2 linked regions of the Lepisosteus oculatus genome follow. The protein of the gene in region 2 purifies or fractionates together with the protein of the main gene of each other region. This does not show direct contact. Links are inferred from orthologs where the notes say so. Each region holds a gene or a part of one and is shown on either strand. Other genes may lie near its edges.

Region 1 (7,369 bases), on a different chromosome or scaffold from region 2:
ACATGACGAAGCATAAGCACTGAAGAAGGATTAGGTAAAACGTGATAAAATGTAGTTAATTTGGCAAAATGCATGAAAATGATCTCGGTGTCTTTAAAGAGGCTTTATCAGTATAGAACAATACTAATAAAGCCTCTTTAGAGTGATATCAAGTCACTCTAAAAAGTGTCATCACTGTAATTTCAGTTCTTTAGTGTAAGTTGTTAAAAGTAAAATAAACATTGTTGGTCTCGATATTCACCTGTTGCATTGTCAAGCCTCTTAGTAAGTAATCTGATTTTTTCTAGGTAATACAGTAAGATATGTGAGCCCACCCACAGCACTTGAAAATTATTCTGCTTCTTTTGGATTAGGTTTATATTGTTTTACTCATAGAAAACACACTCTTTGTGAAATAACAAACAAAAAGACCTACTGTATGCTCTATATGGCATAAGTACTTTACCAACAACACAGAGTCATTACATTTTCATTCAGGAATTATTTAATGGAACTTTACCAGAGAGCTGGGATGGGCAACTGTTCAAACAAGAGCACTGAACTTCCAAGTGCAGTTTGTCCCAGGCAATATTTAAATCTGCTGAAGCATCTCCCACATTTCTGAAGCTACACAACACACAAACCTGGAGACCCAAAAGCCTTTCATACTCTAAAGGGATGCTATAACTGAATGAGACCTGTGTCATATTTACTCAGTACATGCAGGAATGTAGCACACACTTCTTGGAACTGGTCACTACATCAAAAGTCACTCACCTCACTTTAAAACGTCTGTCACTGGCAACAATTTCACCCAGCTTCCTCCATCCTTTGTTGTTGGTTTTGTCAAGCACTTCACTCAGCTTCTTCAGAATGGGCTCCTTTAGTGTGTTAACATTTAAAGAATAGAAATCTGAGGAATCTGACATCTCTGCAGCTGGTAGCTTTCTCAGCCTCAGACACAATTCTGAGTTTCAGAAATTCACGGCAACATCCGTTTAGGCCAGGTGCAGTCCTGTCCCCCCTAAACACATGACATTATTAACATTATTAACCAGGCAAATGTCAACCACCTTGTATTACAAAATCCAATCATCATGGGCCTTATCATTCTTGTGCCAAAAGGATGTAACATGGAACTACAGATATACTGTAGGTTCTTTCTGGTCAGTTTCCTCTTTTGGTGCTACTCCTTTTGATGACATTTCCTAAGAGGATTCTTTACTTCCAGAAAAAAAAAAACTTCCTTAATTTGGATGTTGCAGTTACTTGTACTATTTTACTAGTAATCCCGAATCTTTGTATAAGACCAGACAAAGAAAATCCAGAAAGTCAAGGACATAATTGTTACAGTAGCTGCTTTATCTCGGCATTCTATCTATGAATCATGCAGCCACATTTACATTAAAAAAACCTTTATCAACTTGCTCAACACAGGCTTATTTTCTTTCACAGTACAGTAAATATGTAAGCTGTCACACAAATCTTTCATGCACAGTATCTTCTTTGAGAGAGTCCCTGCAACCATTTTACATCTGCATTTTCAAATGTTTTTGAAGGGTAAGAAGTAAAAACTGCAGCTCATAAAACTGTTAAACACTTCAGAGTTTTAATGAGATGCTGTTCAGTGCTACATGAAGAAACATACATCTACCTAGATACAACAAAAACAAATAAAGTGAATGCAGGAAACTTAATAAGAAAAATCCGCTAGCTATTAGGTGTTTGTGGACATTAACAGACTAAGGCTCCAAGTATTCTAATAACCCAGTATGCTGATTCTCAAAGAGAATGCACTTGTGGCAGGTGGAATGTGTATAAGGTATAGCATCCTTGGGTTTGGAAAGGCACTTTATAAATAAAAGTTATTATGATTAGTATAGAATTAACCGCCTAGTTGTCTAGCTATAACAAAAGTATTGTGAACAACAGTGGGGCTGTGCTCAAAACTCAGATTTGTTGATGGTACTGACCAAACTTCCAAATGTGGGATGTACTGTAACCTTACAGTAAATATGAATATGAAGTCCTTTTAGCTGAAAACATAATAATAAGTATTATACATGATATGTGCACAGTAATAGAACTAATAGTACTGTTCTCTAATAAGGTGGCCATCCAGAGACTGGGCAACTCTGTGCTAAGTGGATGAAGAAAATAAATATCTTCCTCCCTTCTCCAAACTTAAACTTCCATGTATTCAGGCTAAGCGAATATAAACTGTGCTTAAAACTGAGCTGCATAGTGCCAGATACCCAGGATTTATTGTTTTCAGTCTACTTGGGTTCTTTCATTGCCAGCTTTAACTAATCACGCTAATCAACTTGTTTGATTTAACTCACCAATTACTTATTTTTACCCCAGGAAAATACAGCATTTCTTGAATACAATTAACCCTTAGGTTAAAGCCCTTCCTGTCCTGTACCTCTTCGTGCTGCTGCTAATCTGGCCTCTTGCCGTTTGCAAACTGAGAATGCGTAACTATAACATTCCTTACTGCACCCACAACTGAGCAAACTTGCAGTTAATGAGTAAAACTAATACTCTGACATCAACGAACTGTACAATAGCACTAAAAAGTAAAAAGGGAGAGAATACATTAAATGGATATGCACAGGATGATAGTTACAGTACCAGCATTCGCTACACAAGTGGTGGCGTTATTTCAAAGATAAACTCTCAATATACAGTACAATTAAAAGCGCTAAATGTTATTTTAAAAAAACAAATCTTACAATACTAAAAACGCAAAAAGTGAGTTTTCACAAGCAAAGCATAATAATACACGAGTCATTTCGAAGCATGCTTTTGCTAAAAGCGAAAGAATTTGTAACACAACGCATACTTCATTTCGGGGACAACAGGCAGAAAGAGGTAAAATGTCACTCACCTATGTACGATGCAACAGACCGATGAAAAAAAATGACTGATGTGGTAGAATCATGCTTCTCGTTTTTCTGTCTAGATTGGAGTTACCACATGCGTTTAAAGGAGTGACGAAAACGGGGAAATCCAGATGTCTACTAGGAAAGAAAATAAAAGACAAATATCTTACTTCCTGAAACATAAGGGGCGTACTTTACTCTTTCCATTGGTTCACTCAAAATGTTGCTTTATTGTACTTTAGGCAACAATACGTCTTTTCGAAAACAGAAATTGTATAATACTTATCAATCTGGCATTAACATTGTTTTGAATAAAAGTTCATAATAATGAATTACATCTTCAGTACGTTGAACAAATAAAACGAGTACTATTTTTATAGTAGCAGCTGCCAGACTGCTACCTACTGTACGTCGAAAAAGTAAGGCGGTTGGAACGACTAACTTAAGATAAATATTTACAAGGAAGTTAATTCAGTGGTTTTAACAAATGAGTCAACTAATTAAGTACATCTTACCAATGTTTTTCTGTGAGTCGTGTTTTAACTATCCAGTTAAAATACAGTAAATGACTCGGGAGATAGTTACTAAGACATCGTTTTTAACAGTCTACGGTATATTTCTCTTGACTATTTTTAAAAACACCAAACGAAAAGCTACAAACTGTTGCAGTGTATAAGATATGTTTGCAGAACGTTTTTAGTCAAAACATTGTAAACAAACAAAACAAATAAACGGATAATGTAACAAATTATATACTGTACAAATTAAAATCCCAGGTACAATAACCTACAGTATATACAGTACAGTAGTTTATACAACAGGTGAGGAAAGAATAAATCAAAAAGTAACAAAAACAAAATCAAGAAAGGGTAAGAAAAATCAACTGCTGTGTTAACTGTTCACTAGCACAGTTTATAGACATATTACTGTACATCATTCATTTACACATACAAATTAAATAGCGGTTGAAGGTGATCTGAGAGGTACAGTATATTGTACACAAAGGAATATATCATCTTTTATAGACCTTTGTAGAACCTTTACAGCAGGCCTCGCTAATAAATTTAAGTAGATACTTTGATTTAGAGATTGGTGGAAGGATTTACTGAAAAAAAAGTCTCACGGAGTTGTGGAATTAGTGCATCAAGAGTATCTGTTATTGGAAATCGCAAAAAGGAGTTATCACAGAACATATTTAATGATAGTGAAACTCTGGTAGTTGTATAATTATTATATTCACCCCAAAACCTTATTAAATTTCGATAAAATAATGCTGCACAGTACTTCTTCACACAACTCAGATTAAATCTCCTCATCTACAGACAGACAATCTAACCGTATTGTTCCTCTCAATCAGTAAAACATTATTATTATTAATATACATTTGACATTTTTGCATCGGTGACCTGTGATCAAGTTAATTGCTTTTAGTTTTACTATTTAACATTCTGTATGGATTACTTTAATATTACTGTATTGGAAAACAAATTTCAGTGAACAGATAAAGTTTGGATTTTTGTTTTTTTATTTAAAAAATAATCTGAAGTTCTTAAATTATACAGTATATTTCAAACTTAGCCTTTTACTGCTTTTAAAGGATAATATTGAAATATGTTGGGGAAAAATGGGCTTGAGCAAACAGATGTCAGTTTATTTTTAAACTGACAGAAATTGCGTATTTTTTATTTCTTTTCCACAATCTTACATGAAACGTGACTTAGATCTTTACTGTGATGGTAGTTCAGTATTTTTACATGTCATACAAAATAACTTCCTTCCACAGGGAGCACATCTTTACCAATTGTTTTAACTTTACCTTAACTATTTTACACATTCAATGAAAATGACAATGACTCACATACACAAATTACAAGACAGGATATCTACAGTTATAGTCAGTTCCAGAGATGGAAGAAAAAAAATGTGATACTGGCAGTTTTCAGAGAACACTAACCCTATTCATCAATAAGGTGGAGGATGATTTGAGATAATAATAAAAATAATAATAATTGCTTAGACTTATATAGTGCTTTTCTGGACACTTCACTCAAAGTGCTTTACAGGTAATGGGGATCTCCTCCACCACCACCAATGTGCAACATCCGCCTGGATGATGCGACGGCAGCCATAGTGCGCCAGAACGCTCACCACACACCAGCTATCAGTGGGGACGAGAGCTGAGTAATGAAGCCAATTCATAAAGGGGGATTATTAGAAGGCCATGATTGTTAAGGGCCAATGGGAAATTTGGCCAGGACGCCGGGGTTACACCCCTACTCTTTTGAGAAACGCCAAGGGATTTTTAATGACCACAGAGAGTCAGGACCTCGATTTTACGTCTCATCCGAAGGACGGCGCCTGTTTACAGTATAGTGTCCCCATCACTATACTGGGACATTAGGACCCACATGGACCGCAGGGTGAGCGAGATGAATGTTTTGTTTTCTTAATGGAACACAGCCTTGTATTAATCATTTCATAAATTATCTTTTTTTTGCATCCAACAGACAGAAATACTTTCCAGCTGGCTGTAAAGAAACCCACAACATAATTTGATCATAGCTAATACTAACAGCAGCAAAAGCAAATGCTTTCAAAACCAGTTTATTGATTCCAGTAAATGTGTTCTAGTATACAGTATGTTATTTATGGAAATCTGGCAATATGGAAATGGAAATGGAAAAATGTTCATTATACTGTAGCTCTTTTAGAAACTCACTTACAGCTTCTAATAATAATAATTCCTTACTCTTAGTACTGTGTATAGTGCTTTTCTGGACACTCCCCTCAAAGAGCGTTACAGGTAATGGGGACTTCCCCTCCACCACCATCAATGTGCAGCCCCACCTGGATGATGCACTGACCACCATAGTGTGCCAGTACACTCACCACACATCAGCTACTGTATCTGTGGGGAGAACACACTGCAAGTGATGAAGCCAATTCATAGCTTTTTAGGGAGACAGTTTTTTTAAATGTTGTTTTGAAATCACACAAAACAGAACATGTTTTATAAGTGATACAGTAGGTGAGGTATTTGATATATGTCATTAGACGCATCCAGATAACTCAATGATTCGACCACAGTGACGAATGATGTCTGTGTTTAATATAATAAGAAAATAATATGAAGTAATTATTGCTTTAAATATGACACAATTCTGGGTTCCAATAAAGGGATTTTTTAACATAGTTAAAGTAATATACAAAAACAACAATTTGAAAAGAATACAAGCATAGCTCTGTTATAACATTACCTCTAATGACCTCTCTCTTACTGTAAATGTCTGTTACATGTTGCCTTGTTTTTGCTTTTCTTTCACACATTTACCACATTAAACCAAATGATCCAAAACTAAATGTTAAAATAAAAAAAATTACTCCTTATCCATAGGTACAATATGCAATGACATAAACATACTGTACATTTATAAATCTTTGTCTTATAAGGAAAAACATTTTTCCATTTGATGTTGTTGACAAAACCACAGGAATACAATTTTTGCATGTTCGCAGGCATGTAGGTAGAATAAATATAGATCTGTGATGATGAGGGTTCAGGAATAGCACATGTTCATGCTATCAGGTAACCCAACTTTGTACTTGGGGGGGAAAAAGTTAAAAATAGATTCAGACCCACAGTTTTGCTTTGACATATTTCCACGTTCTATATCATCACTCAGTGCATTATCAGTGCATCGGATGAAAAACAGGTATGTAAAAATAATCTATTAATGTCCTTAAGTGTAATTAGTCTTCTATTTTTAAAACCAATGTGGTGATGTAGATATTGAAAATAATTATGTGACTTGATTCATAAAATATTAAACAAAATGATTATCATTAGCCATCCCTTGACTAATCTATCAGTAATAGGAAGACTACAAACCCTTTAGGACGGTAATTAACTCTAATTAATGTCTTTCTTTAACACAGAGACTTTTAATGAAATATACTGTATATTAAAACTGAATTTACTGTAAGACAAAATATACTGTATGTGGTCTATTTTGTCACTGTTTGATGGATGTCTTACAGTATTAATTGGATATTAAAACATCAAAATATGCATGTACATATTAAAATGTAAACAAATGTTTTTCCCAGTTTAAGTCAAGAAAATATCACCATGATACATTCTTAGATTTCAGTCCATTAGTAGACTTTTCAAATATGTGGGGTCTGCTTCTCTGCTGAATTCACACTAAATGTGTTCTCTTGTCAGAATTGTAGATATTTTAGTTATAAGAAACATTATTTTTCTGTTATTCAGGTGGATGTAAAAGGAATACAAAATTTAAGAGCAGGGAGAGTTTTGTTATATCTGCTACTGTATATATCTGCTAGCTTTATTAAGTATGTACTGAATTTTCACTGACACCGATTTTTAGAATGGGAAATTACAATCAAGTTTCAGTTTTTCTTCATGCAAGGGGATTAGAATCAGATTTTTTTTCCAGGTATGTAATCCAATAGCTTTCTGATGATAATCTTCATCATGCAAT
Region 2 (8,094 bases):
TGATGAGGGGATCTGATAGTGTTCAAAATCCTCCATGACACTGACTAAATTAACCCAGCAGATGTCTTTAGAAAGAACAGTGAAACACGAACCAGAAGGCTCAAGTGGAAACTACTTTAAAGTGCATTCTAAGATGAGAGCATCAGGAACTTCTTTACCCAAAGGGTTGAGGGAATATAGCCCAACATATCCAGCCAAGATTTTGCACCAAGCCAAGTTGTAAGCATGTTCTTTCAAATAATTATGAGAGTAGGTAAATTAGAGAGAAGATGATATCCTAGTTCCTTTCAAGGAACAGCTGGATGAGATCTTTGGATCAATAAACTACTAATTACAAAACAGGCTAGATGGATCTAATGGCCACTTTTCAATTTTAAACTTTCTTATGTTCTTACTGCATGTCTTTATGAGTTTTCTCCTTGCTAATGTTGATAATGATTTTAATAATGATCAATGGTTAGTTCCTCCAGCATGTCAAAGTTATTAACAAATGTATAGTTTATACTTTGATCTCACAGAAACTTACATCTAGAAAACCTACATTGCAATACTTTCTCCTCCCCTAACCCCCTCTCACCATATTCTGTGAACAGAACCTCACCACTCCTAACCATCTTCCAGCAAATCCACAAAACTGCATCTCGTACTCTAAGTCTCTGCATTGCAGCTTGTGCTTTGTAACCAGCATGGTATTCTCCACTTCACAAAACAGGATTTCACATCAGGAGCAGTTTTCGTGCTCAATTCATGTTGTTCTGCATACTTTTTGCTCAGATACTGCACCTTGCAGCATTTGCAGTGACTGCTTTAGCCCTATCTAAAATATTTTTACAAAACAATACAAAACACTGTGGTAACTAGCTTCTTCATGCTTCTGTTTGGTTTATGTTGCGTAATTATATGTAATACCATAAATTATATCATTAAGTGCACACATGGGTTTGAAATAAAACATTTTGGACACAATGTTACAAAAAATATGTCCTAGAAGAGCAACTAGATACGTTCCCAGGATTAAGTGAATGTACTACACAGACAGACTAAAGGAATTCAATCTTTTAAGTCATGAACAGAGAACACTATGAAGGGACCTTGATACAAGTATTCAAAATTATCAAAGGCATTGACAAAGTCAACCCAATGTGCTTCTTCAGGATCAAGAGTGAAACATGAACAAGAGAACACAAATGGAAGTTGTGGGGAAGACGTCTGGAAGTTTAAAACCAAAACAGGCAGCACTTCTCTATGCAAAAGGATTATGAGAGTATGGAACAAGCTGTTATTGAAGTCCGTGTCTTGGCTTCTACTTAAGAAACTGCTGGGTGAGAGATCCTTCTGTCAAACTGCCAAAGAGAAAATTCTTCAATTTTCTGCAATTTTAACTGAAGCTAAACTTTAAGGCCTTGGAGCAATACGTATTATCAAAGCAATTATAGCCCACTCCCACCAAACCTGCTCAGTACAAGTCACTCTTGTGTTATCTATTGAATGTAACCTATTAAATCTTTCCTCCATAGTCTTTTGGGCTTCAGATATTACTTTCATCCTAGATGTGTTTGTGTTATATTGCTACTGTACACTTACAGCCTTGCTGTTGCTTATAATTCCTACAGGGAATCATTTTGTATTTTTGGACAAAGTGCTTAACACTACGGGCAAACTCAACTGGACTTCAGAAGCTTAAAAAGGTATTAATTTAATTCACATTACTTGTCAAATGTTTAATAGACTATAGTGAATTCTAACATTTTAGACATAAATATATGAAACTGAACAATTAAACTTTGAATTTAAGCTCATAGTTTTGAATAGCTACCACATACAGTAAATTATACTGTAGCTTAAGTGAAGTGAAACTACGTGAATTGGTGAATGGTAACAAAGAACAAACTTTTCAGAATATAATGTACATATATTTTACAATAGGAGAATGTGAGCATTTTGGAAAGGAAAGAAATTCAACTTCAAATTAAAGCAAATTATACATTTTCAGTGTAATTTCATGCAATTTTTTTACGCATTTCAGAATAGCAAATACAGTATACATTAGCAGGAACCAATCACATACCAAAACAGTTAAAGACATACAGGGAGTCACTAATCCATAGAATTTTAACTGTTCTGCTTTCAAGGGAATCAGGATTAAATATTTTGATGCTTGAAGTTTAAAGATTAAAGCGTAAGAGATGTTGCAGTTTATGAAATTAAAAATATTATGGGCAATGAAAAAGTCCTATTTTAAGATTAATCAGTTGGGTTTTCAGAAATGGTAATCAATTATTTTAAATGGTGATGGTTATTAAAATCATTAGATAATTAAAAGTTTTACTGATATTTAAAAACATATTTTTGTTACAATATTAAGACTCAATTACCTGTTCCTTCCTATAAATTACTGTTCAATGTGCTCTTTTATTATGGAAAAAATAACTAAATAGAAAGTAAACTTTTATTTTTTTCTGTATGTTTCAGATATACTCGACATTAAATGTTGCTAATAAGGAAAGTCAGCCTACTGTATGTTTCAAACTAGTTTAGCTACGCCCGCTCTTCCTCTGAACTAGTGTTCAAAATTGGCTTCAGTTCTCGCGCGGATTTGCACTACTGCAGTTAAAGTAGAAAAGCTAATTTAGCTACTGTACTGAAATATAGCATAATCGTCTGAATGTACATGCTTCAAACTTTCCCAGATAATGAATTCAAAATATTCAAAATATTAAAATTCTGATAGAAAAAGATGAGATGAGGACCTGCAATAAGTTTCTTTTCTGCTGTAGAAACGCACTATTTCCACTTTTCTGTTTGTGCGAAAAATGTTATCTGATAATTTTATCAAGGAAGTTATACTTTTGTGACCGGTCAGCTAGAAAAAAAGTCAAATTTACTGAAAGTGAGTAAAGTCTTTACCAGTATGGGAAAAAAAAGGTATTCTTACCTGTTGCTAGAATACTTCTCTTCAGTTAGCTGTCACGATCAGTGACAAGAATCGTCCATTTTTTAAGCATGAACAAGGGGCGTTGCGTTCCACAAGAAAATTGCCTTCTTGTCTCTGCTAATTTCACCTGCGCAACATTAAACTACATACTTGGAAGCACTACTGTCAGAGTCTGTCAAGCTCTGCTGGCGCAGAGATGGTGATGGGCGTGGAAATATTATTGGGGCAGAAAAAAACTGCCTTACTACGTACTGTATAGAAGGGCACTATTTCCATTCTAAGAAATAAACATAAAAGTTACGAACGAGAAGATACCAATTTTTATATCGTATAACCTTTACAAGAAATTAAACCGGGAATGGTTTTTAAAAATAATTTAGTTGAGCGATGGTCGATACAAATAGGGGGGAAAGTACGCTACATTCAATCCTTTAACAATACGTACGCCGGTTTGCAAAACGTGATATTTGAAAAAAAAAAACACGGAGCCATGACATGATGTGTCCATACTCCACATATTCCTTATGACCTTTAGGAAATGTCTGGGATCGGAAAGTATATGATGTCCTCGATAAGAGTTCGTGGAGAATAAGTTAACTGCTTTTGTATCTGATGATAAGTGTATGTAGTTATCAAGCATATATCAAAAAATATATTGAGGAAGTGGGGTTATTGTAGAAGGTATCGTCTAATTCAACTGCCTTGTTGGTGCGTTCTCATTTTAAAGGCAGCATTCACAGTATGTGATGTACCTCATTTAACAGTGGATCAGCACTGAAGCCTGCATAATGTATAATCACTGACTTAATCATTTAGACGTTTACATGCAAAGCACCCCCCCACACACACACAAACAAAAATGACTATTCGATTATAGTCCACATTAACTTATATTAAATAACATGTAACTATGTAAGAATAAACGTTGAGTAAAATTATTGAGAACCTTATTTGGATGAAACTGTTATCAGTTCAAGGTTGATATGATCTAATCTAGCACAGTGCCTTTGGAAAATATTCACCCCTCATTGATTATTTCTTCTTCTGCTCTGTTGCAAAGTCAAATTAAAGCATTATATTTTTTCTACTCCTGTAGAAGTAATTCTCTCTAATGTTAAAATGAAATAAAGTATTTAAAAAAATAAAAATAAAATTTATATATAAAAAAATAAAAATCTGAAAATTACTTAATTGATAAGAAGAAAAAGAAGAAGAATAGCTTATACTTATATAGCGCTTTTCTGGACACTCCACTCAAAGCGCTTTACAGGTAATGGGGACTCCCCTCCACCACCACCAGTGTGCAGCCCCACCTGGATGATGCAACAGCAGCCATAGTGCGCCAGAACGCTCACCACACACCAGCTCTCAGTGGGGAGGAGAGCAGAGTAATGAAGCCAATTCATAGAGGGAGATTGTTAGGAGGCCATGATTGATAAGGGCCAATGGGAAATTAGGCCAGGACGCCAGGGTTACACCCCTACTCTTTTCGAGAAACACCCTGGGATTTTTAATGACCACAGAGAGTCAGGACCTCAGTTTTACATCTCATCTGAAGGACTGCGCCTGTTTACAGTATAGTGTCCCCGTCACTACACTGGGGCATTAGGACCCACATGAGCCACAGGGTGAGTGCCCCCTGCTGGTCCCACTAACACCTCTTCCAGCAGCAACCTTAGTTTTTCCCAGGAGGTCTCCTATCCAGGTACTGATCTAGCTCACACTTGCTTAGCTTCAATGGGTTGCCAATTGTGAGTTGCAGGGTGATATGACTCCTGGTCATAAGTATTCACCCCTTTTGTTTTAACAACGTAAATTGGGTGAGGTATTAAATTATCTTGAGAGATCACACTAAATACGTTAACAAAGTACACCGGTGTTCATTTTGACTCCACTTGTGTTCAATTACTGGAGTGCACAATAAATATCACTGACTGTGAGGTTTCACAACTGAAATAGCAGAACAGATCAATCCTCCTATCATGTAGACCAAGAAGCTGCTTCAAGATGAGGTTGTTAAGAGGAAAAAAAGCTGGAGAAGGTTATAAAAAGATTGGCAAAGTTTTGAACCTTCCTAGGAGCACCATAAAGTCCATTGTAGCAAAATGGCAGACCATGGGACAACCCAGACACTACAAGAAGGGTAATTGTCAGAGAAGTGACCAAGAGACCAGCTACAACACTGACAGAGCTGCAGAGCTCTTTGGCTGAAATGGGAGAAACTGTCCAGACATCAACAATCTCTTCAGCACTTTACAGATTCAGCCTCTTTGGGAGAGTGGCATGAAGGAAGCCACTTCTGAGAAAGGACAACATTAAGTCATGCCTGGAGTTTGCTAAAAGCCATGTGACAAAACCTGAAACCTTTTGTAAGAAAACTGTGGTCTGATGAGACTAAAGTTGAGCTCTTTGGCCTGAAAGCAAAGCACTGTTTTTGGTGCAAACCAAGTACAGCCCAATACCCAGGTAACGCCATCACTACCGTCAAGCATGGTGGTGGCAGCATCATGCTCTGGGGTTGCTTTTAAGCAGGAGCAACTGGAAAGCTTTTGCCATCAAGGGCAACAAGGATGAAGCTTAATACAGGAAAATCCTTGAGGAGACATTTTTCAGTCAGCAAGAGATCTGCGTTTAGGGTGAAGATTCACTTTCCAGCAGGACAATGACCCAAAGCACATGGCAAAGACTATCAAGGAATGGCTTGGGGAAAAAAATAAGGTAAGTATTCTGAAATGGCCCAGCCAGAGCCCACACTTGAATCCAATTGAAAATCTGTGGTATGACCTGAAAATTGCTGTCCACTAATGCTCTCCATCTAAGAGTTGGAGCAAATTTGCATTGAAGAATGGGCAAAAATTCTACAATGTGCAAAGCTCATACAGACATACCCAAGAAGACTCATGACTGTAATTGCAGCTAAAGGACTATGTAGAAAGTATTGACTTGGGGGTGGGGGGTGAATACTTTTGTAAATGAAAAATGTAAGTCTTTCGTTCTGGAGAAATGAATGTTCTTGAATAGATTGATCTTTTATTCTAAAAAGCCATAATAATGAAGCATGTGAAATAATGAAAAATTACACATTATCCAAGGAAAGTCCATAGGCTTATTTTCAGCTAGCAATAATGCCACACAAATTGATGGGCATGACCATTACGCATTACCATATTTCTGTCATCTGCTGAATCTAGTGGTATACGTTTTTTCATAAAATGAAAATTGTGCATGATATTTGCATTGTTTGCCTGCTAAAGATGGCAGCGAACAAAAACATTATTATAGGACCCGTTGTCACTGCCAGATGGAAGAGCTATGCAAATCTGAGTTTTCATCCACATTTGTGTTTTTTTCATGCAGTCACGGGGTCTCCGATGACTTGTTTTGATTCCAAAGATTTTGTTTACTCGCAATTTGAAATTTCTTGACACTTAAACAGTTTAAGCACTGTTTTATTTTTAGGGTTTCTGTTCACTCGTGTAAATATAGGATTTATTATTCCTAATTTTTACTTCTGGTAATTGGTAGGATGCGTCATGCTAGAAGGCATGAAGTCACTCTTCCATCCATCCATCCATTTTCTAACCACTTTATCCAGTACAGAGCCAAGGGGAGCTGGAGCCTATCCAGACAAACAACAGGAGCAAGGCTGGATATATCCTGGATGTGACGTCAGTCCATAAAACGGCACACATAGACAGACTCTCACACTCACACCAGGGACATTTTTCCCAGAAGCCAATTAACTCTCCAGTATGTTTTTGGAATGTGGGAGGTAACCAGGGCAATCAGAGGAAACCCATGCCAACATGGGGAGAACATATAAACTCCATGCAGACAGCACCCCAGTTGCAGAATGAAACCCCAGGTCCCGGAACTGCAAGGCAGCAATGCTAACCACTGCGCGCCCATCACTCTTCCTTTCACAGCAATAAACACAATAACAAATCTTTATGTACATCAATGCTACAGTACATCTGGTGCCAAACATCCACTTTTGCCTTTTGTCTCTCAGTGTTAATGACCCTCCTACATCTATTTCTCTATGTGCATACAAATACACTTTAAGAGAAATGTCAGGAATACTGGTGGTTTCAGGAAAATGGATGTGCCTTATGTGTTAAATATTTTATTTTAAAGCATAGTTCAGGTGGGTAGCTGCATCAGCGTGTGTAGGCTGCAAAGGAACAAGTAATAGGTTTATTCTATGCTGAAAAAAGAAAAAGAGAAGAAGAGAAGAAGAAGAAAGAGAACACAGAAAGAGAAATTTGTCTCTTTTTTCTGTTTTTTCAGCATGGAATAAACCTATTACTTGTTCCTTATTTTAAAACATATTGCCCATGACAAATTATATTCAAGAAAGTGATTCTATGTTATTGCCCTCTCTCTGTCAGGGAACATTTTACCTGCCTTGCCTGAGTCATTAGTGATCAGGAAGTACTGTATTGTGTTAACCTTTTGCTGTTTTTATAAGTGACATTTTTATTAACATAAAATTGTATTTTTAGCTATCTTTTTCAATCTAGTATAGATTAGTATAGTATAGTTTGATAAACAAGGTCAAACGGTGAATAACAGTATTGCCAGCAAGCAGTCCAATATTCCAATAATCAATTATTAGTTACATACAATATTCAATTATTAAATTATTTATAATAGTAATTCAATATTTAATCATTTGATATTGCAATATTCAAATTCTGTTTGCCTTAGCATAAGTTAAGACAAGGTGGAAGGCTTTGAGCCAGGCTTAGTGACAAAGAAACACCCCAAACAATTGTTTAAGGAAATTAAAAATACTTAAAAAACATTTTGAAGTAAATGTGATGTCAGATGCAATGTAGGACAACATCAATGAAATAAAGATCTACTACATTTTACATTTTTATCATTTGTGTCAGAAAGTGCTTCTTGTGGCTCATAGGTAACCCTCAATTGACTAGAACAACAGGAGACTGACTGTATTACATTTGTAATGCTAATATTTACAAAACAACCTTGCCATCTTTTGGATGGTGAGCCTGATTTCAAGTAAAAAATATTTGAAGAAATTGTCTTACAAGACAAGAATTCCAAAGCTAATAGACCTTAATGCTCACCTTTATGGAGACAACCTAGGAAACATTTTTCTGGTTCATATAAATGTTCTAATTAATATTAAC

Evidence for each region.
Region 1: the proteins of card11 (region 2) and malt1 purify together in Homo sapiens (affinity purification with western blotting; 6 studies listed by BioGRID and IntAct, with this or other methods). This does not show direct contact. The link is inferred for Lepisosteus oculatus from reciprocal best matches to the Homo sapiens genes CARD11 and MALT1.

What each region holds. Positions count from the first base shown.
Region 1 is NC_090698.1:20,401,480-20,408,848, forward strand, and holds the start of malt1 (mucosa-associated lymphoid tissue lymphoma translocation protein 1), read right to left. Parts: upstream 3,006-7,369; 5' UTR 2,870-3,005; intron 2,854-2,869; exon of another isoform or gene 2,733-2,853; intron 1,004-2,732; 5' UTR 909-1,003; coding exon 757-908; intron 1-756. Other genes in the region: alpk2 (alpha-protein kinase 2), read left to right, coding at 6,567-6,577. UniProt on the Homo sapiens protein: Protease that enhances BCL10-induced activation: acts via formation of CBM complexes that channel adaptive and innate immune signaling downstream of CARD domain-containing proteins (CARD9, CARD11 and CARD14) to activate NF-kappa-B and MAP kinase p38 pathways which stimulate expression of genes encoding pro-inflammatory cytokines and chemokines.
Region 2 is NC_090714.1:9,322,161-9,330,254, forward strand, and holds the start of card11 (caspase recruitment domain-containing protein 11), read right to left. Parts: upstream 3,106-8,094; 5' UTR 2,936-3,105; intron 1-2,935. UniProt on the Homo sapiens protein: Adapter protein that plays a key role in adaptive immune response by transducing the activation of NF-kappa-B downstream of T-cell receptor (TCR) and B-cell receptor (BCR) engagement.